3 linked regions of the Canis lupus familiaris genome follow. The protein of the gene in region 1 interacts with the protein of each later gene in a biochemical or structural test. Links are inferred from orthologs where the notes say so. Each region holds a gene or a part of one and is shown on either strand. Other genes may lie near its edges.

Evidence for each region. The genes of interacting proteins can lie anywhere in the genome.
Region 2: the proteins of RBX1 (region 1) and UBE2R2 form a complex in vitro, tested with the Homo sapiens proteins (10 studies listed by BioGRID). The link is inferred for Canis lupus familiaris from reciprocal best matches to the Homo sapiens genes RBX1 and UBE2R2.
Region 3: the proteins of RBX1 (region 1) and UBE2G2 form a complex in vitro, tested with the Homo sapiens proteins (3 studies listed by BioGRID). The link is inferred for Canis lupus familiaris from reciprocal best matches to the Homo sapiens genes RBX1 and UBE2G2.

The regions. Positions count from the first base shown.
Region 1 is NC_049231.1:25,233,145-25,242,671, reverse strand, and holds the start of RBX1 (E3 ubiquitin-protein ligase RBX1), read left to right. Parts: upstream 1-3,824; 5' UTR 3,825-3,906; coding exon 3,907-3,984; intron 3,985-5,893; coding exon 5,894-5,972; intron 5,973-9,527. UniProt on the Homo sapiens protein: E3 ubiquitin ligase component of multiple cullin-RING-based E3 ubiquitin-protein ligase (CRLs) complexes which mediate the ubiquitination and subsequent proteasomal degradation of target proteins, including proteins involved in cell cycle progression, signal transduction, transcription and transcription-coupled nucleotide excision repair.
Region 2 is NC_049232.1:50,787,597-50,797,139, reverse strand, and holds the start of UBE2R2 (ubiquitin-conjugating enzyme E2 R2), read right to left. Parts: upstream 5,806-9,543; 5' UTR 5,409-5,805; coding exon 5,232-5,408; intron 5,078-5,231; exon of another isoform or gene 4,814-5,077; intron 1-4,813. UniProt on the Homo sapiens protein: E2 ubiquitin-conjugating enzyme that accepts ubiquitin from an E1 ubiquitin-activating protein, and catalyzes its covalent attachment to other proteins by an E3 ubiquitin-protein ligase complex.
Region 3 is NC_049252.1:38,405,371-38,414,913, forward strand, and holds the start of UBE2G2 (ubiquitin-conjugating enzyme E2 G2), read right to left. Parts: upstream 5,302-9,543; 5' UTR 5,219-5,301; coding exon 5,176-5,218; intron 4,762-5,175; exon of another isoform or gene 4,747-4,761; coding exon of another isoform or gene 4,731-4,746; intron 4,553-4,730; exon of another isoform or gene 4,325-4,552; intron 3,840-4,324; exon of another isoform or gene 3,557-3,839; intron 1-3,556. Other genes in the region: SUMO3 (small ubiquitin-related modifier 3), read right to left, coding at 8,309-8,386. UniProt on the Homo sapiens protein: Accepts ubiquitin from the E1 complex and catalyzes its covalent attachment to other proteins. In vitro catalyzes 'Lys-48'-linked polyubiquitination. Involved in endoplasmic reticulum-associated degradation (ERAD).

The DNA of each region.
Region 1 (9,527 bases):
AGGAAACTCACTACCATGTCACTCCTCAAAACCTGAGGTCTCTAACTTATCTGCCTCTTCATCTCTCAGAGTCTTTTTTTTTTTTTTTTAATATAACTTGTTCAGGGATTTCAGTGGTACTTAAAAGAGAAGGATAGGGAAAGGTATGTCTACTTCATCGAAGCCCTAACACTTTTTAAAAAAATTTTTAAGTCATTATATTTTCATTTAAGGAATTTTACATGATTCCTTCCACTGCTAATCACTACAGTTCCTCCAAAATCAGAATCATAATATTCAAAATACCCCTTTAAAAAAGAACTTCTGTTCAATCCACAATTGTCACTGTTAGTACAGAGTTCTTTCAGTTGTGCTTCTTTCATCTCCATATGGATATGAACATACTTCAAAAATTCTCCACCTGTAATCTTTGGGATCCAGTTCCTGTACTTTTAGGCCATGTTCTAGCACTTTTTAAAAGTGCACATCTGACCATGTGAGTCACTGGTTAAAATCCTTCAAAGGCTTCCCATCACTAAAGGTAAATACCAGAACCCTTTGCATGGGTCCATTGAACCACTCAGCATGACCTGGCCCCTACCAGTGGTAAATATTTAATAAATAAATTGGGGAGTGGAAAGCTCTGATATGCTGTGTTTGCCAATTTCCATGGTGTAAATACTACTATTATAGCTAATTCCAAGCTACCAATATAACATTGTCAAATATAGAACTGAAAAGAGATGCAAACAATTGACTCTTGCTCATCATTGCAGACTTATTTATATCACTCTCTCTTTATATTCCAGCCATTCCAGACTTCTTTACGGATGCATTGTGCATTCTCCAGCTTTGAGTCCCTTTTGCACACTGTTCTACCTGGAATGCCATTTTCTTCCATATCACTCAGCGTGTGTGTGATGGAGCCAGGGTACATCAGCTTACAAGTGCTTACAAGAGCAATTTTCAGGAATTTTGCAATCTGGCTGTTCACACTACAAATCAGAGCTTTCTTGTTTGTTTGGTTGTTTTTTTTAGAGCTGGTTTTTAAGCATTTACCAGCATCCTTCTGCATCTGCTGCTTTTTGTCCAGCTTATGCTTCAATCTCAAACCTTTTCCTCTAAGAAGACTTCCTCACTACCCACCCCCCCACACAGACCCACTTTCTGTTTCACAGTACCCCAAACTTCCCTTTTCCTAAAATTCATTGGAATGATCAATAATTGACTTGCCTCTCTGCTAGTATACCATAAGAGCAATGATGAAAGGGGCCTTTTGCAAATACTTTTAAAAGCAATTGCCTTTTTACCTAGATTAGCATGGGGTATTGACATAGCAGGTTCTTTTTTTTTTTTTAAGATTTTATTTATTTATTCATGAGAGACACACAGAGAGAGAGGCAGAGACATAGGCAGAGGGAGAAGCAGTCTCCCTCTGGGGAACCTGATGTGGGACTCGATCCCAGAACCCCAGGATCATAACTTGAGCTGAAGGCAGACGCTCAACCACTGAGCCACCTAGGCATCCCTGACACAGCAGGTTCTATAGATATTTTAGAAATATTTGAATGAGTGGATGGATGAGAGTAAAATTACAACCTATTACATTGTAAGCTGAGTGAAATTATGAAGAAAGATGGGAATCTGTATGAAATCTACAAAAAGTTTTCTTAGGTTTATGCAGTAGAGTCCAGGGTACTGAACATCATGGACAATCACCACGCCAAGGCAAATCTCCAAAGGAGAGATCAGTACATGAGGTTTTCATAGCTTAATGGAACAGCCCCTAAGATCATACTTCTCCCCACTGTAGCTCTATACAAAGCCATCAACTTGCCAAATGTTGCTGCTTCCTCTCCTGTATCCCTATAATCCCTTCCTCGCAAAGCTTAAAAACTTAAAAAAAATTTTTTTTTGTCACTGTTAGTCCCTTCCCCTAGTTTAAACCCTCCAACACCTTCCCATAATATCTGTAGATCCCTACCTGATCTGGCCTCTGCCTGTCTGTCTGACACCTCTTACCACAATCTCCTTGCTCCATAAGCTTCAACTTTGTTCATTCAACACATGCTGAGCCCTGCCCTGTACAAGGCACTGTATTGTTACCAATAAACAAAACAACAACAACAAAATCCCCTCTTGGTGAGGACACACAAAAGACAATAAACCTGATAAATAAGTAAATAAAAACCATGTTAGATTATGTGTACCATTTCCTAAAAATGAAGACAATGTATTAAATGAATGGGTAACAGATCATGCAGGATCTTTTAGGCCCTTGTAAGGACTTCAGCTGCAATGTCACTCCTCATAGAGACCTTACCTAATCACACACAATTCTCCCTTCAATTTCATGATATCTTTTTGTCTTCTTAATAGCACTTATTGATACCTGAGGATGGTTTTTTTTCCTCCCCAATGTATTTGCTTACTTGTGTATTATTTCTCTACCAGGAATTTGTTCATCACCGTGTCTCTCCAATTTATAACACGATCTCATACATACTCAATGAATTTGTTTAATGAAGGTTAAATATACACTTAATACGTTAACTTACTATGGGTTTTTAGTATCCCGTAGGGGCCTTTGGGAACACAATCAATTAGATGACAAGAATCTTAACATGGAATTATCACTCTAACAAAATTTGGGCTAAGGAAAACTTTGTAGGGTTCCTGTAACGTTTTAAGGTCTCACACAATTTTTCTCTTTCCAAGTCTGGTGTAAGCCCTGGTGGTGTTTTCATGGATTTGTTGTTCCTGTTTATGACTAAGGCAAGGAAACAAATCGCAGTTCTTCCGGTTTGGCAGTGGAGTCCATACACTCCATTATGCTCCAATTTTCTTTCAAGAGAAAATACGAGATTCCAAATAAGCCAATACGAGATTTAGGAGTGATCTAGCCGAGTCATACCTCTGCAGGGTTAGAGAGCCACAAGGGGTTCCGGGTGCAGACATGAAGTACAGGTGCTTTGGCTGGGAACGACCAGTAAGAATCAATGGCCAAACGCCTCACACAAAGTCAAGTAGGACTGCAGTGTGCCCACGGCGCAAGGAGCGGGAAGAGGATGGAGATCAGGGAGAGGGGACCCCCACAGTTAGGTGGCCAACTGAGGAACAGGAAAGGTGTGTTAAGAGTATGTGAAACTGAAACCCTGCGCCTTAACCAAAGGGCATTCTAGCACGGATGGCGTTTGGGGCGGGCGGGCGGCGGCATCCCCGAGGCTCCAGGTGGGCAGGTTGAGGCAGGACGGGAGAATGCCTACGCGGCTGGGCCCTGGAGAGGACATTCGGGGAGCTCCCGGCTCCCTGTCGAATCCCGAGCATTTCCCGAATCGGAATCAGGGACCTAACGGCGCCTGGGCCCGGCTTTCCCAGCGAGGCTGCACGTCGGGCCTGGCTCGGAAGCGAGCCGAGACCCGCGACACTGCGGGGTCTCCGGTTTCGGCTGCAGGAGGCGGGGCGCCCGCCCTGGCCGCTCCCCGGGCGGAACGCTGCGGAAGACCCGCCGGCGCTGGAGCGGTGCGGCAGCGGGGAAGGCGGGGCGGGGCCGGGGCGGCAGGTCGCGGCCGAGGCGGAGGAAGCAGCCGCCGCCCCAGCCGAGGGAGCGCGGCCGGGGGCTTCCCGCGGGAGGAGACTAGTCTTTCGAGCGTTTCCACCCGGTTCGAGCACGTCGGCTCGGCCCCGCCCGGCCCCGCCCCGGCCACCGCCTCTTCCCCAGCCGACTCGGGGGCCGGCGGCAGGAAGGAGGAGGGAGGGACCTGCGCCAGCGCCTTTAAGAGGCGTGGCCACGTGCTCCGCCCCCACCTGCCCCTCGCGCGCCAGTAAGGGGCGGGGTGCGAGAGGAGGTGCCGGGCCGGGAGGGGGAGCGAGGCGTGCGCTGGTGCGCAGGCGCAGTGGCCGGACGACGGACCGTGTGTTTCCAAAATGGCGGCAGCGATGGATGTGGATACCCCGAGCGGCACCAACAGCGGCGCGGGCAAGAAGCGCTTTGAAGTGAAAAAGGTTGGGTCTCGCCAGCGCCTTCCTCAGAGAGGCTAGAGAGGCGCGGATCTGGCTGGCAGGCCCGAGGATGACCGAGGCGCGGAGGAAAGGGCTTCATTTCAGGGCGTTCCTGGGACCGGGTACCAGGAAAGGAAGCTGGGGGGCGGGTCTTAGAGTTGATCGGCGTGACTGGGGCCCACTACCAATGGCAGTATTGGTTTCACTAGGAGTCTGAGGGGCCAATCACAGAGGCGCTTGTTGAGATGCGCGGGGTTGAGACTTGGCTGAGGGAGCCAAGCGCCTGAGCTGTCACTGGAGTGGTGGAGGGGTGGGGAGGAGTGGGTGGGGTGGATGGAAGGGGGAGTCGGAGCGCTGCGGTGGGTGGAGGATGGGGGCAGTGCGGCGAAAGCCGGGACCTGAGTTCCTACCGCAGTGGAGGCCTTTGAGGAGCCCGGCTGGTGATCTCCTTGCCCCGCCCCTTCCCGAAGCTCGGGGTCCCTCTGACTCTGAGGGACCCCAGCCTGGTCCTCGCCTCCTCGAGGCCTCCCTCAGCCCTCTCTCTAGTCCTCGCCCCCGCCGAGTTAAAGTGTCTCCAGTGTAACAACTCTTGGCTCTTCTGAGAGGTCTGTTGGTTTGTCACACAGCCTCCACAGTCCTGTGCTCGTTTCCAGAATCCCTCTGTCCAAAAAGGAAAAGGGGGGGGGGGGGGGGAAAGCATGGTGGAATTTGTTAAAAAGAAAATGCGAGCCCAAACCTTGTGTCATTTAGGAAGGGTTGAGTACTAGTGGCGAACGACCTGGTGACTGTGGGAAAGCAAAAATGTGGAACGTGTCTTTTTGCATGAACTGCTTTATAGTGGTTTGCCAACAGTTTGGGAGGAAAGTGCCGATTCTCACATGATATAAAATAAATCTGTTCAAAATGAAGACTCAAATAGGGGAAATGTTATTCCTGGAACATCTGGCTAAACACTGACAATATTCCCCCCTCCTAGTGCTTTTTTGGTGTTTCATTGTGGGCACTGCATGCTCAGTTACAGCCAGCAGCCATATTGAAGAATAGAAATAGGGTTTTGTTGTGTTTTTTTTTTTTTTTCCCCCGTTCAAGTTGAAGCTGTCGGAAAGTGCTAAAGAAGTTTAACTAGACGGGGAATTGCGTTCGAAAGAGATGAAGGTTTTGGAAGTGGCACCAAATTGGTGGATGAAAAGGGAGTTTGGGGATATTTATAATTGCAGAAGCCAGAAAGGTTGAATTACTTAAATACCGCTTTTAAATGAACTCTTAAGTGGAATTATCTGAACTAAATAGGAGCCTGAGCTTGTAAAAGTTTAGAACACCAGTTTATTTGATGGAAGGAACTAACCAAAATTTTAGTGAATTCTAGAATTTGTTGTGAAATAATCTTGTGAGATTTAAGTGATGACCTTGCTCTGTACTGACACTGGATAATTAGTTATCCAGCTTATCCCACGATTACCCATTTTATGATCCAATCATCATCTTAGTTCATTCTGTCCCCAGCTTTCACCTCCCCACTCATACCTTCACAGCTGCCTTGAAGAGCGTATATTTACCTTTGCAGAAATTCAAATTTGTGCTTATTAAGCCTAAAACAGGCTCTCAAAAATTATTCCCGGTTTTCTTACATTGATACAGTTGACTAAATTATTGTAAGCTGTAGGAGAAAATAAAGAGGATTCATTAATTTATGTTCATATACTCAGCCTTTTGGAAAATGGGTGAGCACACTTGTAGTCTGCTGTTGCCCTCTGATAAAATGAATAAGAGTAAGGTAATATCCCCAAGCTCCTGTGTCTGGTGGTCCTTGTGGCCAAAGAGATGATAACTGTAGCTGCAGCATGAAATCCTAGAGTGTGTGTACGCCTGTGTTACAAGGAGAGTGCATTGTTCCCCCTTTTTCTCTTTGCAGTGGAATGCAGTAGCTCTCTGGGCCTGGGATATTGTGGTTGATAACTGTGCCATCTGCAGGAACCACATTATGGATCTTTGTAAGTAACTGGAGGTGGATGGGAGGAAGTTGAGAAGGTTACAGAGATTGTGGCTATTCTGATGTGACCAAATTTCTTCCCAAGGAGATATAAAGCATAGTCAGAACACTTGGTGTCTTCTGCCTCTAGTCCGTTGGTATGTTTGAAATAGAGTAGATTTAATGATATCCTGGAGACATACTCATCTCTCAGAATAAATCTACTCAGTCTAAAGATGGCAAGCACACATTTAGAATGAGTTGTGGACACAGAGGCACTGTTGATTATTCCTCTATATTTCCCATCTCATACCCAGACTCAAAGGCAAAAATAGTGAAAGGAAAAAAAAAAAATAAACTTTGAGCTAAAATATTCTACCAAAGCTAGTTTTTGCTTGGCAAGATTTATAAAGAAAAGAAGCCAAAGAAGTAAGGAATTTCAGTGTTAGCCCCTAAGTTAAGAGGACATCGGTGCCAGCATCTAAATAGACAACTAATTGCAGTAAAGAAGTTTCATTTAAATCTACAGATTCCATCCCATATAGTAGCCAGTATATGGTGGGTTTGATTATAGCTATCCGTGGACTCCGTGTCCTTATAGTAATAGGGGCAAGTATGTTGATCACACCAGGAACAGCTGAGGTTACTTTTTCTTCCAGGTACTGAAATGGTTTGTTACAGAGATCAGATATGAGATGAAGAAATTTCAGCTTTGTAGAGTTGCATTTACAGGCACTTACTTTGAAAATTACTCACCTGCCTCTCCAGCTTCATCTTGCACCACTCTCCTGCTCACTCTGGTAGTTTCTTTGGCTTTCTTTCCATTCTCGAAGTGTCCGTGCTCTTTTTTAGAGCCTTTAATATGCCCTGTTCCCTTTGCCTGGAATATTCCCCTTCTCCCCACTACCTTTGCCTGACCCACTACTGTCCAATCTAAATATGAGCCACAAATGCAAGTACATACATAATTTAAATTTTTCTGGTACCCACATCAAAATAAAAAGAAACAGATGATTTCTATTTTATTTATCCTACTATATCCAAGAAAATTTCATTTCAACATGTAAATATTTTAAAGTGAACTATTTTACATTCTGTTTTTGGTACTATTTGAAGTGTACTTACACTTAAAGCGCATCTCAGTTCAGACTAGCCACATTTCAAGTGCTCACAGCCACATGTGGCTAGTGGTTACTTTATTGGACGATGTGGAACTAATCCGTAGTTGATCTTTAGATCTCACCTTGAACTAGCTCAGAGACGTGTTCCCTGGCCATACTTAAATACGCACAGACTATGATGGTTCCATTAAATATTCCCAAGACCGTCTATACTTTCCTTGGTAGTATTTAATTTAGTTGGTTCTCAATCATATCTATGTTTTTAACTGCTCTACTCCCAGCATAGTGTCTAGTACATAATAGGTTCTTGCTAAATACTTGTCAGTGAATAATTAAAATACAAAATAGAAGAATAGTCTGTGATCATTGCAACTTGGAAAGCCCCAATCAAATATCATGTATTGATAGTTTATTGCCCTTTGTTTCTTTGAGTTTTGACCCTGTTTACCTTTTCACACAACAGTCAAAGCAGACAGCAGCTACCATGATGTTTAATATAGATAGAAGAAACCCATCACAGAAAAACACATGCACAGTTTTAAATGTGTTTGGGTGGGGTCTTTGATTACATGCTTGCCAATTTTGTTGCTTTACATTTTCGTAAGGAGTTGTGCCCAAAGCAAATTTTATTTTCTTGGTCTCTCTTCTGTAAATAGTTAATGATTTCAAATAACCCTGCTTGGGTTTTTTTTCCTGCTTCTATATTTAAGTTATTTTGTGTCTCTCTGGATGCAAGAGAATGTGCTTTTTGGGAGGAGCACCACAGATAAAGGCTATTGATACTCTCTCTTAGAGTTGAACTCTTGAGGGATCAATGTAGGTCTTCAGTTAGACTCCTGTCTGTTTTATCATATATTTTAAATGTTAGGTGAAGTAGAATAATTGAACTCTTTTTTTTCTTTAAGTAGGCCCCAACGTAGGGCTTGAACCCACAACCCTGAGCCTGAGGGTCTGATACTCTGCTGACTGAGCCAGCCAGACACCCCAGAATATTGAACTTTTACAACAAGAAATTATAAAAGCATTTTCAAGTCATTCATTTATTTAGTTTTAATTGATAAAACAGTTTATTATTTTTATTTCTTAAGGTTTTAATTCCAGTTAACATACACCATAATATTAGTTTCAGGTGTACAATATAGTAACTCAACGTTTCCATATATCACCCGGTGCTCATCATGACAAGTGTACTCCTTAATCTCCATCACCTATTTAACCCATCCCCCTACCCACCACCCGTCTGGTAGCCATCAGATTGTTCTCTATAATTAAGAGTCTGTTTTTTATAATTAAGAGTCCTGTCTTTTATTCATGCAATGAATACTCACATCCTGGGCATTTTGCTAGGCACCAGGATAAAACAATGACTGAGATCAAGTTTTTACTTTAAGAAACATAACCTTTTGTTTATTACAGACACTAAAGAGAAGTCTGGTTGCCACAACTGGGTTTGTCTTCCTTTAAAAAAATAAATGGATTCTGGGATCCCTGGGTGGCGCAGCGGTTTGGCGCCTGCCTTTGGCCCAGGGCGCGATCCTGGAGACCCGGGATCGAATCCCACATCGGGCTCCCGGTGCATGGAGCCTGCTTCTCCCTCTGCCTGTGTCTCTGCCTCTCTCTCTCTCTGTGACTATCATAAATAAATAAAAATTTTAAAAAAATTTATAAAAAAAAAAAAATAAATGGATTCTGATTCTTATAAAAAGACTTTTTGTTAAAGCTGAAAATAAGAATCTTGATTTAGCAATGGCCATTTTCTAATAAATTCTGGCCTGGCATTAAGTGAATAATTATATACATAGCTATAAATAAATAAGAGTGATTATGGTTGTGCCCAATTGAGAATGTTTGGTCTGAAGACTTCCTGTTTTGAGTCAAAATTGATACTACATGCCCTAGTCTAGCTTTGTATTTATTGTACATTGCCCCATTTCTTTGTTGTTCTAAAGAGTTGCTGAAATGCACAATATTTCTAGGTTTTCTCCATTACCTCAGATAATCTTGTTCCAAATGAAAAGGGCATCCAGAAGGGCTTAGACCCAGCCTTTGCCCGTGAGAAATTAGCCTCTTCCTAAACCATAGGTCCATATCCCTCTTTTAAAGTGAAATCTGGGCAGCCCAGGTAGCTCAGTGGTTTAGTGCCGCTGTCAGCCCAGGGCCTAATCCTGGAGACCCGGGATCGAGTCCCACATCGGGCTCCCTGCATGGAGCCTGCTTCTCCCTCTGCGTGTGTCTCTGCCCGTCTGTGTGTGTGTGTGTCTCATGAATAAATAAATAAAATCTTAAAAAAAAAAAAAGTGAAATCTGTCCGTTTCTGAGATGAAGCCATTGCTTCCTTGGCAGTCCTTTGGTGGTAATGCTCTTGTATTGAAATTTAAAAGTCCCCAAGCTTTATGTATCACATGCATTAAGCCTCTGCCTTTGTAGGGGTATGATAGGAACCATCATGTGCTATT
Region 2 (9,543 bases), on another chromosome or scaffold:
CATTTTCCATTACATGAAATTACCATAACTTATCTTTTGTTGGATACTTAATGTTGTCCTAATTTTCAATAATGTCGTTATCAATAATGTACTAAATGTATACTAATATACTTCCCCTAGCAGAGTACACAATGTCTTTGTACAGTCGTTGACCACACTCCTGTTTGCAGAGAGAGAGCAGCACTGGAAAAGTTACACCATGTAACTCAGGTGTCTTTTATTCACATAAAACAGGAATTCTTAACCTGTCAGAGGGTCAGTAAACCCTCTGAAAAGGTATACAAACTAGTTCACATGTACCAATGTTTTCCCAAAGAAAACTGTTTCTCAAAAGGATCCATATAGGGGTGTCTGGGTGGCTCAGTCAGTTAAGCATCTGTCTCTTGGTTTTGGCTCAGGTCATGATCCCAGAGTGCTGGGATGGAGCCCAGGCGTCAGGCTCCCTAGAGCCAGCTTCTCCCTCTCCCTCTGCTTGCTGCTCCCCCTGCTTGTGCTCTCTATAAAATAAAATAAAATAAAATAAAATAAAATAAAATAAAATAAAATATAAAATATAAAATATAAAATATAAAATATAAAATATAAAATAAAATAAAATTTAAATTTAAAAGATCCACATAATAAAAAGACTAAGAATTACTTTTTTTAAAAAGATTTTATTTATTTATTCATGAGACACACAGAGAGGCAGAGGGGAGCCTGATGCAGTACTTGATCCCAGGACCCTGGGATCACAATCTGAGCCAAAGGCAGATGCTCAACCACTGAGCCACTCAGGTGCCTCTAAGAATCACTTTCTTTTCTTTTTTTTTTTTTTTTTTTAAGATTTTATTTATTTATTCATGACAGACACAGAGAGGCAGAGACACAGGCAGAGGGAGAAGCAGGCTCCACGCAGGGAGCCCGACGTGGGACAGGATCCGGGTCTCCAGGATCACACCCTGTGCCGAAGGCGGGGCCAAACCGCAGGGCCACCGGGGCTGCCCTAAGAAACACTTTCATAAAATAATTGTTTCAACTACATATTAGGAATTAAGAGTCACAAAACACAGTATGTCATAATATTAAGGACACTGCCAGGCCCAAATGTTAAATTTCGCAGGGTTTTGTTTTTGTTTTTTGAGAGGGGGCAAGAAATAGATTTATTTATTCCAGAATAAATGAAAATAATATGTATCTGTTAGTTTTACAAATTATTAAATGGTTTTTTTAAAAGATTTTATTTATCTGAGTGAGCAAGAGAAAGAGCTCAAGCAGCGGGGAGGGAAGAGGGAGAAACAGACTCCCCACTGAGCAGAAGATTTGATCCCAGGACCCTGGGATTATGACCTGAGCTGAAGGCACTTAACCGACCGAGCCACCCAGGCGCCCCTGAAAAGTTTCTTTATCAGACTTACATTTTGATTTCTATTAAAGAAGCTGATTATGGAAAACTTTTAGTATATGACAAATACTTTTCTAAATTATCAGTTTGAAGTTTTCCAAAAATGGAAGAACCTATATTTATTTCACTTTCTCAATACAATTATTGAATAAAGGGACAGCTGGGTGGCTCAGCGGTTAGTGCCTGCCTTCCGCCCAGCCCAGGGTGTGATTCCACGGTTCCGGGATGGAGTCCCACATCAGGCTCCCTGCATGGAGTCTGCTTCTCTCTCTGCTTGTGTCTCCGCCTCTCTATCTTTCATGAATATATAAATAAAATCTTAAAAATATATATATATTGAATAAAAACAAAAACTACAAAAAGTTAACTGCAATATTTTAAGTTTTCTGTATCATTTAAACTTTTATACTATGAACATTATGAAAAAGACACTTTTTCTTTCAAAGTAATCTCTCCACCCAACATGGGCCTCGAACTCACCACTCTGAAATCAAGAGTCACATGCTCTACCGACTGTGCCAGCCACGAACCCCTAAGCACTCTCTTTTTTCTGATCTCTAGACTCCACCCTACCACGCTTTCAGATAAATAATGCAGGAGGAGTTCCAAAGAACCTCCCAAAGAGATTCTCTTCTATACCTAAGCAGCCATACTGTTATAATCATTAGCAGGAGTTATTTGAAAAGATAGTGCTTTTTATTTTTTTTTTATATTTTATTTATTTATTCATGATAGACACGGAGAGAGGCAGAGAAGCAGGCAGAGGGAGAAGCAGGCTCGCTAAACCGCTGAGCCACCCAGGGATCCCCAAGATAGTGCTTTAAAAAAAAAAAAAAAGATTTTATTTATGTATTCATGAGAGACACAGAGAGAGAGGTAGAGACACAGGCAGAGGGAGAAGCAGGCTCCATCCAGGGAGCCCGACGTGGGACTAGATCCCAGGTCTCCAGGATCACACCCTGGGCTGAAGGCGGCGCTAAACCGCTGAGGCACCTGGGCTGCCCAAGATAGTGCTTTTTAAATGAATGGAGTGAATTTGTTAAAAGTTATCATTAACTGCTCACTTGATCAACAATTCATTCGTCCAATAACATAATAAAATTCCAACTCGCTCCACAGTAGCAAAATTAAATTCAGAGGTGTTCTCTATTCCAAGTCATCTCATACTTTGCGTTTTGTAACAATTGACCCCTAGAGGAAAAGTAGAAGCAACAAAGATGTTTCACTCAGCAAGTCCAAAAGATCAAGAAACTGGACAAAAACCAAAGCCAAAAAAAGATTTTATAAAAAAAAATTTTTAAAAAAAGATTTTATGATATCCAGAAAAACAGGCACAAGAAACTACCTTTACCCGTCATACATGCTACCCATCTTAGCCCCATAGCTAAGAAACACAGACTTGAAATACTTAAAAAACAAAGGTTATGATGAACTGAAAAAAATTTGTGAAATACAGGTCTCACCAATCTCTACCACAACGGATGCCATAGTTAAAACAGCCTGGAGCCAAGGATTTCATGTAAAGAAAGATCAGTAAGAAACCTATTAATATGTGAAAGTTAAAGGAGTAACATGAAAAATTCAGTCCCACTGCCTTCAGGAACTATTATGCAAAACAGAGGAAACAATTTAACTTGAAAATAAATTATACTAAATATTCAAAAACTATCATTTGATATGGTAGAACAGTGGTGGAAAAAGGTCTGTGCCAACTTTTAACTGCAGCTGTAGTGGAACACACTAAAAGCCTTGTTTTATGACAAAAGCAGTGAAATAAAAAAAAACAATGGTTTTAGACCTACCACCAGTGTTAACTACTCATGACCATAAATTTGCCTTTTTCTAACAAAAGACTTTTGGGATAAAAAGCCATCTAACAAGGAATAAAACAAAATGACAGAATTTTTATACAACAGTAAATCCTAAGAATTTTCATGTTTTTAAATGTCACAATTAAAGGTAAAAAGATTAAGAAATCTAAAATATACATTGAAATTCAACCATCTTTTCTTAATACGACAGAAATTACAAAACATTTAACTGAAATCAATGTTTGCCATAGTAGGGAATCCTCTTCCCATAGTACTTATTTCAAACACAGAGGATTCTCCACAATCCTTTTCCTGCTACTTAAGCAAAAATATTACAATTTGCAACTATTAATTCCTTTGACACTGCTTTTTTTTTTAAAAAAACAGTGAGGTGGAAGTATTCTAATTAGTACCCATTCACCTTGACTATTAATTGTCCCAACTAATACTTTACGGGAATTAAACTTTGTCACTTAAGTTAGCCAGTAGACACATTAATATCTTCTTCACTTTGTCACTAATAACTTTGCCTTAGTAGCTGCATCTAAAAGGTATAGTTTATGGTGACCACAAGAGATTAAGCACATAGTTAGTAAAAGTACTGCTCTTACACAATATTCTAAAAATGTGCTTTTACTAGGTATTCACAGACTACCACAAGCGTGACTATTAAACATCAACCCCCACCCCCGTCAATTCTTCACATTTTTACAAAGTTGACCCAATTTCAAAGCTGACACTGAAGGTTCTCTACCTTTAGAAGGATAGAAAAAAGTAATTGGGTAGTTCCTAAAAATGTACATCATGACTACGTGACTAAGATATTCATTTAAAACTTATGCCAAGATAGCCCCTCCCTTCAAAACAAAGATTGACTCACTGCTCTATTTTACTTAATTTTGGAAATAAAATTAAATGGATTCCCTAGCACTTATTTCCTGTCTCTGCCTCCACCACTTAAAGCATTCTACCTTCAATCTATGACTTGTCCCTACAAAATTGGTAAAGTAAAAACAAAAACAAACTCAATATTGCCAAGTTATCTTAGAATTTAAAAAAAGGGGGGGGGAATAAAAAAAAAAAAAAGAAAACCACTGGATTCAGGAACAATCACTGTTCCAAAATCAGGAGGGGGACTAAGGATCAGTCCCTCTCAGTGAAACCAACTCACCTCAGATGATACTTTTCATCTGTGAGACCACCCCATTTGCTAGAGCTAACCACCTGAATAAAAACGTTTCAATTCTGTCTCCCTGAGGTGGGAAACTCGCAACCTCCCTACAGAACACGTTCCACGGTCTGCAGATATTTCTACATTGGGGGGGGGGGGGGAGCCAGTAAAGTTGGTGGCAGGGTGAGGACAAAGGGCATTTTGAAATACCACTGAAGTAAACAGAGAAAGAGAACAGAAAGGAGGCTAAATTAGCGTTCCCTCAAGTAGATAATGGGATGAAAACGCAGGCATCCTTGTTTACCACCCCTAGGGTCCTATTCATTACCGCCCACTGGAATGCGAAGTTGGAACTACCACCACGCAAGAAGCCCATCACATCCTCAAAGTGTCAGGTCACTAGAGAGCCTTTGTGATGACAGGTTAATACCCTTCCCCCACCCTCACCCCCCAAAAAAAGAAAGGTTCAATCCAATAAGTGCAGGTCACTCTGCCCTCTGGGGCAGTTCCAGCCGGCGCGGTGACGGTTCTGATGGGCATACGAGAGGGGAAAGACCACCTTTCTTTCCCACACACCCTCCTCAGCTGGGAAAACAAAACAAAGACAGCCCTCCTCCTCCGGTAGCCACTACCCTAGCCAGAGAGGCTTTCCTATTTCCCGGTGCAGTCTGGCCTCCAGCCCCCGCCCCCATGACAAAGAAAAGGCACTTGGTGAGCAAGGCCTTCCTGCTTCCACGGATGGGGGGAGGGGGCTGCCGAGGTGAGGAGCCCCCTATACACACTCGCGCTCACTCTTGGCCCAGGAAGCGGCGGGGAGCGGAGGCCTCCGCCCGGGGAAGCATGGCCTGGGAGGGGGCAGGGGTACCTTGAAGTAGCCGCCTTCGTAGAGGGTGTTGGGGGGTCCGAAGATGGCAACCTCCCAGTTGTAGAGGTCGGACTCATCCACCAGGGTGATCCGGAAGCCTTCCACCGGCTCCTCCTGCAGGGATTTCAGCTCGAGCATCAGGGCCTTCTGCGAGCTGGTCATCTGCTGCTGGGCCATCGCGGCGGCGCCGGGCCGGAGCCCCAGTCCTCTCGCACCGGCCGGGCCGGACGAGGCCCCTCCCCTGCGCTCGCCCTCCGCCGGGCCGCACCGGGCCCCTGTCTTCACACACCCCGCGGGCCGGACCAGGCCCCAGACGGCCCGTGGGCCGGCCCGGGTCCTCCTCACACACGACGCGGGCCGGGCCTTTTTCCTCACACTCGGGCCAGGTGGGGGGAGGGGCTGAGGGAGTTAGGGGAATTCGCTCCCGGTCCCGGGCCTCCCCCCCCCGGAGGGGGCCTCAACTTGGCTGGGGGGGGGAGAGGGGGTGGAAGCGGAGGAGAGCGGCGAAGGGCCGGCGATGGTGAGGGGAGGGGGCCGAGCCGGCCCGGGAGCGCCGCGCTCGCTCGCCCTCTCGTTCTCCTCAGGGGCTGCCGGGGCCGAAGGGCGCGCGGGGCCGGAGGGCGGGGGGAGCGCGGCGCGCTGGGGTCTCGCGGCGGCGACGGCGACGGCGGCGGCGGCGGCGGCGGCGGCGGCGGCGACGGCTGCGCGGGGGGAGGGGCGACGACGGAGGAGGAGGAGAAGAGCGAGAGCGCCTCGCGCCGCGGGAGCGACGGAGCCAAGAAGAAGGAGGGAGGGAGAGCGGGAGGAGGGGCGCGCGCCGGGAGGGAGGGCGGCTCTCGGAGGCGGGCGGCCAGACGCGCGTGCGCACGCCCCTCCCTCCGCCGCCCTCCTCTCCCTCCGCTCCCTCCCCCGCCCTCCTCCTCTCACTTCCCCGCCTCCTCCCTGCCGCCCGGCGCGGTGGCGGCGCTTTGTGACGCCGACGCGTGTCCCCCGCCCTTAAAGGGCCAAGCTGCTGTGAGGGCCGAGGGTAGTCGCGGGGGATGCCCTTGGCCCAAAAATGACAGTTGTGCCGCTGGGCGCCGCGGTTCCTAGGGAGCTCCGGGGAACGGGACCACTGGCCCTAGAGCTGTCGGCGCCTTCCCTTTTCCTCTCCCCATGTGTAGCCACAGGCTTCGGCAGCCATCCTCCGTCGAACCCTGGTCCTCTGCAGGCCTCTCCCCGTGACACAAAGTCCTTGCCCCGGCCCTGCACTTAATAGGTCCTTGCCAAGAATACGCTGAGCTAGTAAGTCTTATCGGTGGGGACAAGTGTCCCGACATATCTTGTTTACATATCAAGCCCATGTGTCCTTGGAGGGCAGTGTGCCACCCCGGGGGGGGGGGGGGGGGGGGGGGGGGGGGGGGGGGGGGGAGCCGATTCCCATCCGAGAAATGGGGAAGGCAGATAGGCCGCTGCTACTTCTCTTCATGACTACGGAAAGGAAGTTGCGGGAAATAAAGAGAGAAGTAATAATGCAGACTAAACCTGGGTTTCTGACGCTTCTCTGTGATTTGGGGCAAGTGCTCTAGCTATCCCTCAGTTATTTGTAAAATGAAGTACTATGGGGGGGGGGGGTTAGGTACCTGGCTGGCTCACTTGGTGGAGCATGTGACCCTTGATCTCGGAATTGTGAGTTCAAGACCCGCCTTGTTGTAGCGATTACTTAAAAATAAAATCTTAGGGATCCCTGGGTGGCACAGCGGTTTGGCGCCTGCCTTTGGCCCAGGGCGCGATCCTGGAGACCCGGGATCGAATCCCACGTCGGGCTCCCGGTGCATGGAGCCTGCTTCTCCCTCTGCCTGGGTCTCTGCCTCTCTCTCTCTCTCTCTGTGACTATCATACATAAATAAAAATAAAAAATAAAATAAAATCTTAAAAGGAAAATATTGTGATTGAACTTTGACCCCCTATAGATCCTTTCAGCTAGACGGTCCAACTAGGAACTGAGGGACTTTTAAGATAATCATAACTTAAGTGAGATACGGAGACAGTCTTAAATCCTCATGATTTTAGGATAGCCCGTTCGTTCTCTTGGGAAGGCATGTCCTATGATAACTGCTGAAACAATTCCTAGTAAAGTCAGGATACTATGAGAGTTCCACACATTTAGAATTTTGAGATCAAAAAGATTCTAAGTTCCAACCCTGGCTCTACCACTTATCCATTCCTTATTCATCAGCTTCTGTAACAAAGGGTTAATTATACCCAACTTAAACTATTGTAAATATTAAATGAGATCATCTGTTTACAGCATTTGACACAATGACTAGCACATGATAAATGATCCATAAATAGGAACTTTAAAGAAAGAAAAAAAATTTAAGGCATAGGTATATTCTGACTACCACCCCCTCTATGGTTCTGACTCCCCTTCCTCCACCATTCAATTTAGGGACAAGAAGATTGCTGACCTGGAAATGTGGGAGATGATGTTGACACCTTTAATAACAAGGATGTGAGTAGACAAATAGGCAGAAAGTTCATCTTCAAAGCATTTCACCCTCATAAACTCATCACAGTCCCACCCTGACCCAGAAGATGGTAAATTCTTAGCCCAATCCACTGGAACAGGTACCTGTCAGCTAGACCAGAAGCTGCTCATAGTAAATATCTGCAATGACTATGGCCCTAATAACCTAAGGTGGTTGGCTAATAAACATATACCCGTCTAGAAGGCTCATAGCCTAATGTGTTAGTTAATAAGATGTGTACTTAAGGTTCTTCATTCTCACCTCAGAGGAACTCTAGAATCTAATGTCTCATGCCTTTTCATCCTAGCAGGTAAGACATTGTTTGTTAGTACGGTGCAACTGTGTCTTATTCATGCCATGGATCCACAGCAACCAGTACATTGTTTGACCCAAAGTAGACACTAAGTAATTGTTCTCATGGGCTTACAGCCAAGAGCAGGAAAACAATCAGTAACAACAACAACAAGTTGAACCTCACCCTCCACCCCCATGTCTAATAGAACCTCTCCAACACATAGTAGGTGCTCAAGATTATAAATTCCATAAGGTTGGCAGGTCTTGTTTATACAAGCTCTTTTTTTATATATACAAGCTACTACAATGTTTGGCATGTTATAGGTATTCAAAATATATTTGTCAGAAGAATGAGTGGCAGAAACAGCTTCCTAGAGCTTTCTCATAGTGTTTTATAATGACAGGTCAATGATTTGACTGATTGGTGCCCTCTGGTGGTAAAGAAAACGGGACACACGCCTTCAGTCTGTATGGCATCACCTGGTGCTCTTCAAGAGAGGGCTCTCTTGAAGAATTCTTTCTTCCAAAGAGAAATGATATGGAAATCTTGAAAGATAAATGAGAGGTAGGGGTATTTGCTTTAGAGTGGTTAATTCTCACCTTATATAATGCCTTTTTTTAGGAGACCAATTTTTTTTTCATTCTATGTATGTTAACACATGGAAGTCAAATAGTGCTCTTAAGGAGCCACAATCTTTCTCTCTCTCTCTCTTTTTTAAAGATTTCACTTATTTATGAAATTATGTTTCCTGAGAAACAGAGAGGGAGAGGCAGAGACACAGGCAGAGGGAGAAGCAGGCTCCATGCAGGGAGCCCGACGTAGGACTCGATCCTGGGGACTCCAGGATCATGGCCTGGGCGGAAGGCGGCGCTAAATTGCTGAGCCACCCAGGCTGCCCAATCTTTCTCAATAATAGCTGACATTTGCTGTGCATCAGTATGTGACAGGCTCTTTACAAGCAGTATCCTATTTAATTCTCAAAAAAATCCATGACATCCATACTAGAACATCTGTTTTCCTGGGTATAATAAGATTTAGAAAGGTTAAGAAGGTTATCAAGGTTATGCAGTAGGTAAATGGTAGAACCCGGAGTTGAACCTTGGCCATCCCACCTAAGTGTAACTGCTCTTTTCTTTTTTTCCAGGATTTCAGAAGTTTATTTATTAGGGAGGGAAGAGGTATAAAGAAACTTCAGTTATCTGATACAAGCTCAGTAGGGGCAGGTCTCTGTCACTATCACACACAAGGAGGGATGAATTGCAAGAGGAGGATTTTCATGATGGAGAGAAAAGAAGATACCCTCTTTGGAATCCAAGTACACTCAGCTAGTATTTTCCATCATTTTGGAACCTAATTTTCCCATGAGACTTCCTAAAGGAAAGAATCAGAATCAACATTTCATGAATAAAATGCCAGAACTACAAAAACTCTTTAAAATTATTTTATCTATCATCCTTATTTTTTATTTAAGGAAGCTAAGAGCCAGAGCATAAAGGGAAGGGCCACA
Region 3 (9,543 bases), on another chromosome or scaffold:
ATTAAACATGAACTTCACAGGTGACCCATTTACCCAAGAGAAATGGAAGTATATGTCCACAGAAAGACATGCACACCAATGTTCCTGCAGGTTTATTTGTATTCACCAAGAACTAGAAACCACCCATATAATGCGGACTGAGCATACAACAATGGGACATTACTTGGGAGGATGGGAGGCTACAGAATTACGCTGGATGAAAGAATCCTGACAAAAGACAAAACAATCTATGGTGACTCAAAGCAGATCCGCTGGTCGTTGCCTGGGACCTGGGGGCACAGGAAGGCACAGGAGAGGTGGATTCTAGAAGCAGGAGACTTCACGGGGCAGTGGTTACACCCATCCTCCTGATTGTGGCAATAGCTTCATGGGCGTGTGCATCCACCAAAACTCATCAAACTGTACACTTAAAGTATATTAACCTATTGAATGTCAATTATACCTTAACAAAACTGCTTATTAAAAAAAAGAAAAAAAAAAAGATGGCTGGGGGAAAAAAAGACACCACAAAGACCGAAAAGGCAAAGCACAAACAGGGATAAAATACTTATATATAGCCAACAATGGATTAGGGATCTATAAAGGAATAGACAACATACAAAGAACACCTACAAATCAGTAAAAGAAAGACAAACCACTCTATGGACATTTGGTACAAGACTCAAACAGATTTCACAAAGGAAAAAATATAAACCACCTATAAACGTGACAGGATGCTCAACTTCAATCACAACACACAAAACCACGAGGAACCGCACCTCACCCACCAGGCTGGTAAAAAAAGACCCTGCCCAACACCAAGGTGTCCGTGAACATTCAATGCGCTGTGCCCGGGGCAACTGCCCAGGGAACCGGTCTGGCATCATCCAGGAAGGCGGATCACGGGAAGGCTCCGTGACTGTATCACACTCCGGATACAGACCTTGCATAAAGTGCTCAGAGAAAGTTGTGAGAACACACCTGTGTGAGTCCATCTCAATTATTAAGTACAACAGGCAAAAATACACAGTATGTTGCTTAGAAGTATACTAAGCAGTAAGAAGACAGAGAAGAGGAAAGGAACCAGTCAGCAAATTTCAGCAGCAGTAACTTGCAGGGCTGGAGGGAAGGAGCCCGAAGATTTCTAAGTTAACTGCTAGTGCTGATTCCTAAGTTGGGTGCCGCGGGTACAGATGTCCATTCACTTTTCATCTGAACATACACATTTACTCTTACACAATTCCCTTCATAATAAAGAGTTGTTATGAGAAGCTCAAAAGACATATTGCCAGGAAAGAGGACAGTAACCAGAAGGACACGTGGAGTCCGGGGGTTCAGAGGAGGTTTCTCCAGGGGGGAGCAGGGCATGAGTGCTGGGGGTGCTACCCAGGGGAGACATGCGCCCATGACCCGGCCAGTCGGGGTGGCAGTGCAGGGGACCGATGAACCGAGAGGCAGGGGTCATCGCCAGGACTTTGGCTCTTGCCGCCACGAAGGGTCCTGGGCAGAGGGACGTGACCTGATGAGCTTTAATGGCATCTTCTGCTGTGCTGAGGACAGAACAAAGTGGGACAAGAGCAGAAGCAGAAAACCTGTCAGGACCGTCCCGGCAGTCATCCAGGCCACAGGTGAGTGGCATGGACCGTGTGGGTCTCCAGGACGACAGGTGACATGTGAATATAAAACAAAAGGAGTCATCAAGGGCAAAAGGGCAAATCTAAGGTTTCGAGCCCAGAAAACCGGAGGGCTGTGGCGGCCAGCAACTGAGACACAGACACTGTGGGAGCAGCACTGCGAAGGGAGGAGCACGTGCCCAGTTCTGCACGTTCACGTCCGAGGCTACTCCACATGGCACGAGGCTGCGTGTGTCCCCCAGAATCTGTGCGTGGGACCTTGTCTGCGCATGCACTCCAGGAAAAATGGGGTCACGCTGGAGTGGGGTGAGTCCTACCACTGACTGGCACCTCCCTCGGGGAAGACGGCCAAGCCACGACGACGGCTGAGATGGGAGTTACGCGGCCCCCAGCCAAGGAACAGCAGGAACTCCTGGCAACCACCAGGAGCTGCAAGAGGCCAGGATGGATTCTTCCCGAAAGCCCCCAGGGTGTGGCCGTGCCAACAGGCGACCTGGACCTGGGCCTTCGGGCCTCCAGACAGAGAGACAACAAACTTCTGTTTTGTTAAGCCACTCGGCCTGCGCTCCTTTGTTAAAGGAGACCCCCCCAAACCAATACCTAACTCTATTTTTGACACTTCTCGGAAAGGCTGGATGCTGTGTGACAAGAAAACATCAAGAAAAGATCCCATTTAAAATACATAAGTTCTGGGGCGCCTGGGTGGCTCAAACGTTGAGTGTCTGCCTTTGGCTCGGGTCATGATCTCTGGGTCCTGGGATCGAGTCCCAGTCACGCTCCCTGCTCAGGGGAGAGTCTGCTTCTCCCTCTGCCTCCGCTCCTGTGCTCGCTCACTTTCTCTAACAAATATATAAAATATTTAAAAAATAAAATAAAATATATGGGTTTAGGACAGCTAGATGGTCCAGTCAGTTAACTGTCCAACTCTTGATCTCAGTTCAGGTCTTGATCACAGGGTCAAAAGTTCAAGCCCCACACTGAGTTCCATGCTGGATGTGGAGCCTACTTTAAAATAAATTAAAAAAAAAAAAAAAAATCTCGGTTCTTTTTCTAACACCTTTTTCCTGGTCCTAAGAACGTAGGCAAATCATTTTGCCTTTAATTTTTTTTTTTTTTTGTCATTTTGCCTTTATTACTCAATTTCCTGCAAAATGTGAAAAACCAGAGGCTGAACAGAATCCTAGCCAAGGTTCCACCACCACCCCTAAAATTCTACAGTTCTGGGACTATTCCCCAACATGAAAAATATCCCTGAACCCTATCCCAATAATCTACTAAAGTACATTCAGGGATGCCTGGGGGGCTCAGTGGTTGAGCGTCTGCCTTCAGCTCAGGGGTGTGACCCTACAGTCCTGGGATCGAGTCCCACGTCGGGCTCCCGGTACATGGAGCCTGCTTCTCCCTCTGCCTGTGTCTCTGCCTCTCCCTCTTTTTCTCATGAATAAATAAAGAAACCCCATTTCACAGAGAGATTGTTTCTATAAAATCCACATTTACAATGGATATGTCACCCGTACGGTAAGACCAACTAGAGGCTAATTCACAAAAGAGGAGGATCATGAAATGGAATTTTATGTTTCTGAGATCCAGCAACAACAGAACTCCCCTCAGAGACACAGTTTCCATTCTCTACTGCTGTCACCACAAACTCAACGCTTAAAACACCACCCACTGCTGACCTTACAGTCTCCATATGTCGGAAGAGGGAGGCAGTTCTGTGCCTCGAGTCTTACAAGGCAATCAAGGCAGGTGTCCCCCCAAACTCATTCAGGCTCCAGGCAGAACCCGGGTCCCTGCCGCTGTGGGACGGAGGCTCCAGGATCCCGAGCGCCAGCACCCAGCAGTCAGTCCCAGGTGCCGCGGGCCACCCCGTGCTTCTGTTCCTGGCCATGTGTGCATCCTCCCAGCCAGCCACAGCAGGGGGGCCTCCCCTCCCGCCTCACCTCTCCTGCCTTCCTCCAGGGTCTCAGCTCCTCCTGTGATTTTGGGGTCAGACCCCAACGATCCAGGCTAACCTCCCTCCCTGTAAGTCAGCTCTCCTGGAACCTGTGCGTTACGCCTTTCACGGCAGCGCTGGATTTGCGTCTGATGGGATGAGTAGGGGCCAGCAAGCCGAGGGGGCATCTTCAGGGCTGTGCCTTCCACAGATACCCCAGAATGCCACACAAACACGTGTAAAAACGCGCACGTCACAGTTCTGCGATACAGACGTGGAAGTCAGCTATTCTCTGCGTCTTATTGCTGCAAACCTACAGCAGGGTCGGACTCACAGACGAGGTTTTTGTGGATACGGTACAAGGAAAAGCACTCTTTGCTGACGCGAACATCCTCAGGAAACGCAGCTGGACAAGGCAGAGTCTGCGCCCGAGCGGCGGCCCGGACCCGATTCCGTCCCCACAGACGGGAGAGAGTAAGGCCTGGCCGCAGAGTGGAGGCCGCCGGGCTGCACGACTACACCCAGCAGGCGGCAGGGCCGGCAGGTGCCCCCTGCGCTGCGCCCCCCGGCCCGTGTCCCGCGGCCACCCCGCCCCTGCCCACCCTGGCCCCGCATCTCCTGCACGTGCCCCTGTCCCTGCCGCAGAGGGCACTGGGCCGGGCAGAAGGTAACCAAGCATCTCTTCTAAGGGCCCCCCCCCATCCCTGCTCCCGCCGGACGCGAGGCTCCCCGAGCCGGGCCGTCTGCTGAGGGACTGAGCTCCGCGCACATTTACCAGCCACTTTAGTGTGTTTCCGACTTCCCTCTGCAAGTCTCCCCGCCGGGCCGGCGCCGCGGTAAGAGCAGCAGCCTGCAGGGCCTCCGCCCGGGGGAGCCGGGGCCGCTGGAGGCCAGGGGGAGGGCCAGGGGGAGGGCCACGGGGAGGGCCCGGCCGCACGAGCAGCTCGGAGCCACCCGCAGGCCCGCGGCAGCCCCGCCGGCAGCTCCTCCGAGGGAACGTGCCGCTGCGAAGCGGCAGGACACGGGCCGTCCTGGGCTCTGGTCCTGGGCTCCGGCCTCTCCCTTCGCGTCCCCAAACATCCCCACACGCTACACGCTGCTGGCTCGGGAGGCACCGAGCGGTCCCGAGCTCGGCCCGGGGAGGGGGAGGGGGAGGGGGAGGGGGAGGGGGCGGGCCTCACCCCAACGCGGCCCCATCAGGCGGGGCCCCTCTGACCTGTCCCCTCGGGCGCGTCACAATGCGCGGCTCCCGTTTCTCTCGAGCAGTTTCGGCTCCACCTTCCCGGCGGCCCCCCCGCCCCCGCCCCCGGCCGCCCTGTCCTCCCGCCGACGGGGGCGGAGGGTCTCGAGGCGGCCCCCCCGCCGCAGCCCCAGCCCCAGCCCCAGCCCCAGCCCGGGGCCAACCCCCCGGCCCCCTCCGCCCCGGGGCCTGACCCAGGGCTTCGCGACGCGGCCGGGACACGGGGCCGCCGGGACCCCAGAGAGGACCAGGCCGGGGGGGCAGAGGGTCACGGGGTCAGGGGTGAGGGCAGGGACCAGGCGCGGGGATGGGGGCGGGAGGTCGGGAGGGGCCGGGGCCGGGGCGCGGGCGGGCGGCGGGGGCGGGGGCGGGGGGCGCGCACTCACGCTTGTACTCGGCCATCAGCCTCTTGAGCGCCGTCCCCGCCATCGTCCGGGCGACAGCCGAGCGGTCCGCCGGCCCCGAGCGCGCTCGCTCCCGCCCGCCGCAGGGCCGCTTCCGGGTCGCCGCGGGCGCAGAAGCCCTTCCGGGGCGCGGGACGCGGGGGCGCCTGCGCGGTGGGGCGGGCGGCGGGGGGCTGCGCAGGCGCGGTGGCCGCGACGTCCCGCCCGCGGGGTCCCCGAGGCAGCGGCTCCCCGGCGCCGGGTCCCTGCGGCTGAGCCGCGGGCGGGGACGCGGGCCCGGGACGGAGGGTCACGCGGGCCCCGGGGCGGGGGAGGGCCGCGGAGGACGGGGTCGGCCGCCTGTTACATCACGGGGGGGCGGGGGCCAGGGAGGGACACGGAGGCCGGGGCGGGGGCGGCGGGGCGGATCGCGTCTGTGCTGCACGTTCTTGGATCACGTCCCCGTGGGGAGGGGCTCAGCGGTCGGCGCCGCCTCCGGCCCAGGGCGTGACCCCGGGTCCCGGGTCCCGGGATCGAGGCCCGCGTCGGCCCTGCGTGGGGCCTGCGCCTCCCCGCGCCTCCCCGCGCCTGGGTCTCGGCGTCTCTCTCTCCCCCCTCCCTGTGTCTCTCCCGAATAAGTAAATGACCATGTTAAGAGGCTGAAGACCCGCTGGTCGGTTCCCACAGGCTCCCCTGGCGTGTCGGCCGGGCCCGGCGCAGTCAAGGCAGGAGGCGCGGGGAGCAGCTGCCGGACGTCCCTGGGCCTCGGGCCGGACCCGCCCGCGGACCGCGAAGGCCCCTCCCGCCGGCCTGGCCCCGCAGGACCCGATTGCCCAGACCCCCGCGTCCTCAGAGAGGTGCAAAGCGGCAAAGGCCTGCTCGTGCCTGCTCGTGCCTGCTCGTGCCTGCTCGTGCTCACCTGCTGCCCGGGTGAGGGGAGGGCCTGGGTCCCGTCGCTACCCCATCGGGCTCCCTGCCCCTCCGGCTTGTCCGCTGTGGGGAGCAGTGGGCCGCGGGTCCCCTAGTGATATGGTGGCTCCGTCCCCACTGACCCCGGGGATCTGGGATCTGGGACGCGCCGGTGCTTCTCAGAACCCGGGTCTTCCTGACCTCAAAGGGAGTGACCCCAGGTCGCGCTCTGCGGCTCCGCCACGCAAACACCTGTGCACCGTTAGAGGCGTCCTCAGCTCCAGACCGTCCGCGCGCCGCCTCGGCCTCCATACCCTCCCACAGAATCCACCGTGTGATGTTCTGTAGGATCCATTGCGTCCTTGGTTTATTGTCATCACGGGCCTCCTGCAACCTGAAAACCCGTCCCGAGGGCAAGGAGCGGCCCCTGCTCGTGGATGCAGCTGCAGTAGGCGGCCGGCAGGCGGCATCGCTGAACTGGGCCAAATTTAAGAAGGGGGGGGGGGACTCAGGCCTTCAGCCCAGGGCGTGACCCAGAGGCCGGGGTGGAGCCCACGTCCCTCCCCGCAGGGAGCCTGCTTCTCCCTCTGCCTGTGTCTCTGCCTCTCTCTGTGTGTCTCAGGAATAAATGAACAAAATCTTAAAAAACAAAAAACAATGCAAAGCAGCCTCCGAGGTCTGTGTCTGTCAGGGCCGAGGCCTAGAGAACCGTGGTCCAGCACTGACTTCACAGAAGTGAGTGGGATGCAGTGCACAAAGGAAAAGAGTCTTTAGGTTCAAACAACAAAAACCTTGAGAAGCCCTGACTAACGTGCACGTTCACGCGCCCCACAACGCGCCCCCCATACCCGGGACCCCAGGAGAGGCGAGGTCGTGATGCCCGGTGGGCGCAGCCAAGGCCGGGGCACTGCAGCCGATGCAGCCGTGGGCAGGAAACCCAGGCCTGGCACGGGCGACCTGCGGCGTGCAGAGGGTTCAGGGACATACCCACTCCTCCCCACCCGGGCTCAGGATGCCAGTGGCCGCCCCAGTGGCTGGCCCGGACACGGAACGGGGACAGTCCACCCCCTCGGCCACACGCAGCGTGTAATCCAAGCCCAGAGACAGAATAGCAAACTATATTTACTGTTTACAGTAGCAAAGGACAACAAATCATGTACAAATTGGTGAATAAACAGAACAGAGCCAGCCGACCTCCCACCCTCGCCCGGACAGCAGAACACAAAGGAAACGCAAAGGCCTTCGGCAAGATTTCAGGCAGGTGAGGGACGATGTCGCAGTCCTGCTCGGGGACTAGGACCAGCAGCAGGTGGTGCGCACGCAGCAGCAGGAGAAGCAGCCGTGTAACTGGTACAGAACGAAATCACGTCCTAAAGCGTACACCCCACACCTACTGGGAAAGCAGCGCAGCCCACGTCCACGAGGGCAACGCCAAGTCACCGCTGCAGGGGCTCCACCGCCAACACACTCTGAGGCAGGTCTTTCACGCAAAAACAGCTGCAAACTCAGCAGTGCTGAATCCAGATTTTGTAGAGAGACCTTAACTGCCCAGAGGAGAAACGGGCAGCCACGGCCCCAGGGCCCAGTGAGATGCGTGGGGGTGGCTTCCTTCTCCATCGGGGCCAAGGGTCTGAAAGACCTGCTTATTTTCCTTTTCACCTTTTAAAAAGCCTTCCAGTATTTTCCCTCTGACTTTACTATTTCCTGAAATGCAGTATTTACCATTTCAAATACCTGTGCCTGTATGACATCGTGAGATTGTTTCCCATCCCCAAACCGGCCCCAAAACTCGTCCAACAGCAGCAGCCCCTCTGTGGTGCCATGAGGTCTCCACTGGAATAAACAGTGGGGTGGCGGTGGGGGTGGGGGGGTCAACACCTGGGGTCAGATCCCCATCTAGACTAAAAGTGGACATTCAGACCACACATTTGGGGGCAAAAGTTAGAGGGAGGAAAAAACAAAAATGAAAGCAAACGAACCCCAAAACCCTCACCACTCCTTTCCCCCCAACAAAGACAAGTGTGACTGGCCTGACTTCAGCTGTGGGCGCCCTCCCCCCGCAGAGTTCTGAGTTGCCCTTGCGAAACGTCAGAGAGGAAAGTAATTCTGGTGACTGTCCTCGGGTTTCCGCAGACTCCTCTGTGATTGGCATGGTCACGGGTTCACTATTCCACAGCAGGTGCGAGCACGAGGACACGTGGGGACGGTCCCTGCAGAGGCGGCACCCTTAGGGCCAGCCGCTCTCCCGCGCGCCTCCTGTCTGCTGCTGGAACACATCGATGGTGTCCTCGTCCTCCATCTCCAGCTGGCGGGGGTGCGGCAGCGAGAGAGGGAGAGCAGTTAGTTTCCTGGGATCCCAGAACGCGCCACGCTCACCTGGACGACTCTGCAGGTTCACTGCGCTGTCCCCTCCCTCTGGCCCCCCCCCCCCCCCCCCCCCCCCCCCGGGAACACCATCCCCACCACACCTGTCCTCAGGTGCACCGTGCCGGGACAGCGCTCGGCTGGGATTTCCAACAAGCCCGTTCACCCACCAAGATGCTCACAGAACTCACAAAAGGATATTCGGAGCTAAGGACTCGGATAGAAAAGCAGCCTCTGGGGCGCCTGCCTGGCTCAGTCTTAAAGAATGAGACTCGTGAGCTCGGGGTCATGAGTTCAAGCCCCATGCTATGTATACAGATGACTTAAAAAATAATGAAACCTTTAGAAAGAAAAAATGAGTCTTATTTAAAAACAAGCATCCGGGATCCCTGGGTGGCACAGCAGTTTGGTGCCTGCCTTTGGCCCGGGGTGTGATCCTGGAGACCCGGGATCGAATCCCACGTCAGGCTCCCGGTGCATGGAGCCTGCTTCTCCCTCTGCCCCCTCTCTCTCTCTCTCTCTCTGTGACTATTATAAATAAATAAAAGTTTAAAAAAAAAAAACAAGCATCCAAAATTTTTACCGAACTTTACACAAAATCGTGTTCCACTGAGGAGCACGTAACAGGTGCCGTGGATTCTTCATGACAAGTGCAAGGATCGTGCCTGTGGACTCCAAAGCAAGCCCCGTCACACAAGGAGGATGTGCTAAAGTGAGGGACACGCTGGCTCTGCCCACTGCACCCCTTCCTGCCCTTCACGACCATGGGAGGGATGGTGCAAACGGCTTTCCCTTTCTGGCACAGGGAGCACACGTCTACCCTGATCTCTGTCCATCCTCTGAACAAAAGGAAGCTTCTCTGCCGATTCAGACTAGAGGCTGGAAGCAGTCCCGGGTCCCAGGGACATTCTCAGAGGGGACTGGGGTAGGGCTGGGAGGGCAGGGCCCCTCTCCGGCTCAGACACCCCGGGCAGCAGCCAGATGACAGGCAGGAGGGGGAGCCCGGGTGCCCCTCCACCTCCCCCCCCCCCGCCCCCAGGAAACTCCCGCAGCCCAGCGCCCATGTGAGCAGTGTGAGGGTCCCCAGGGCAGCACACA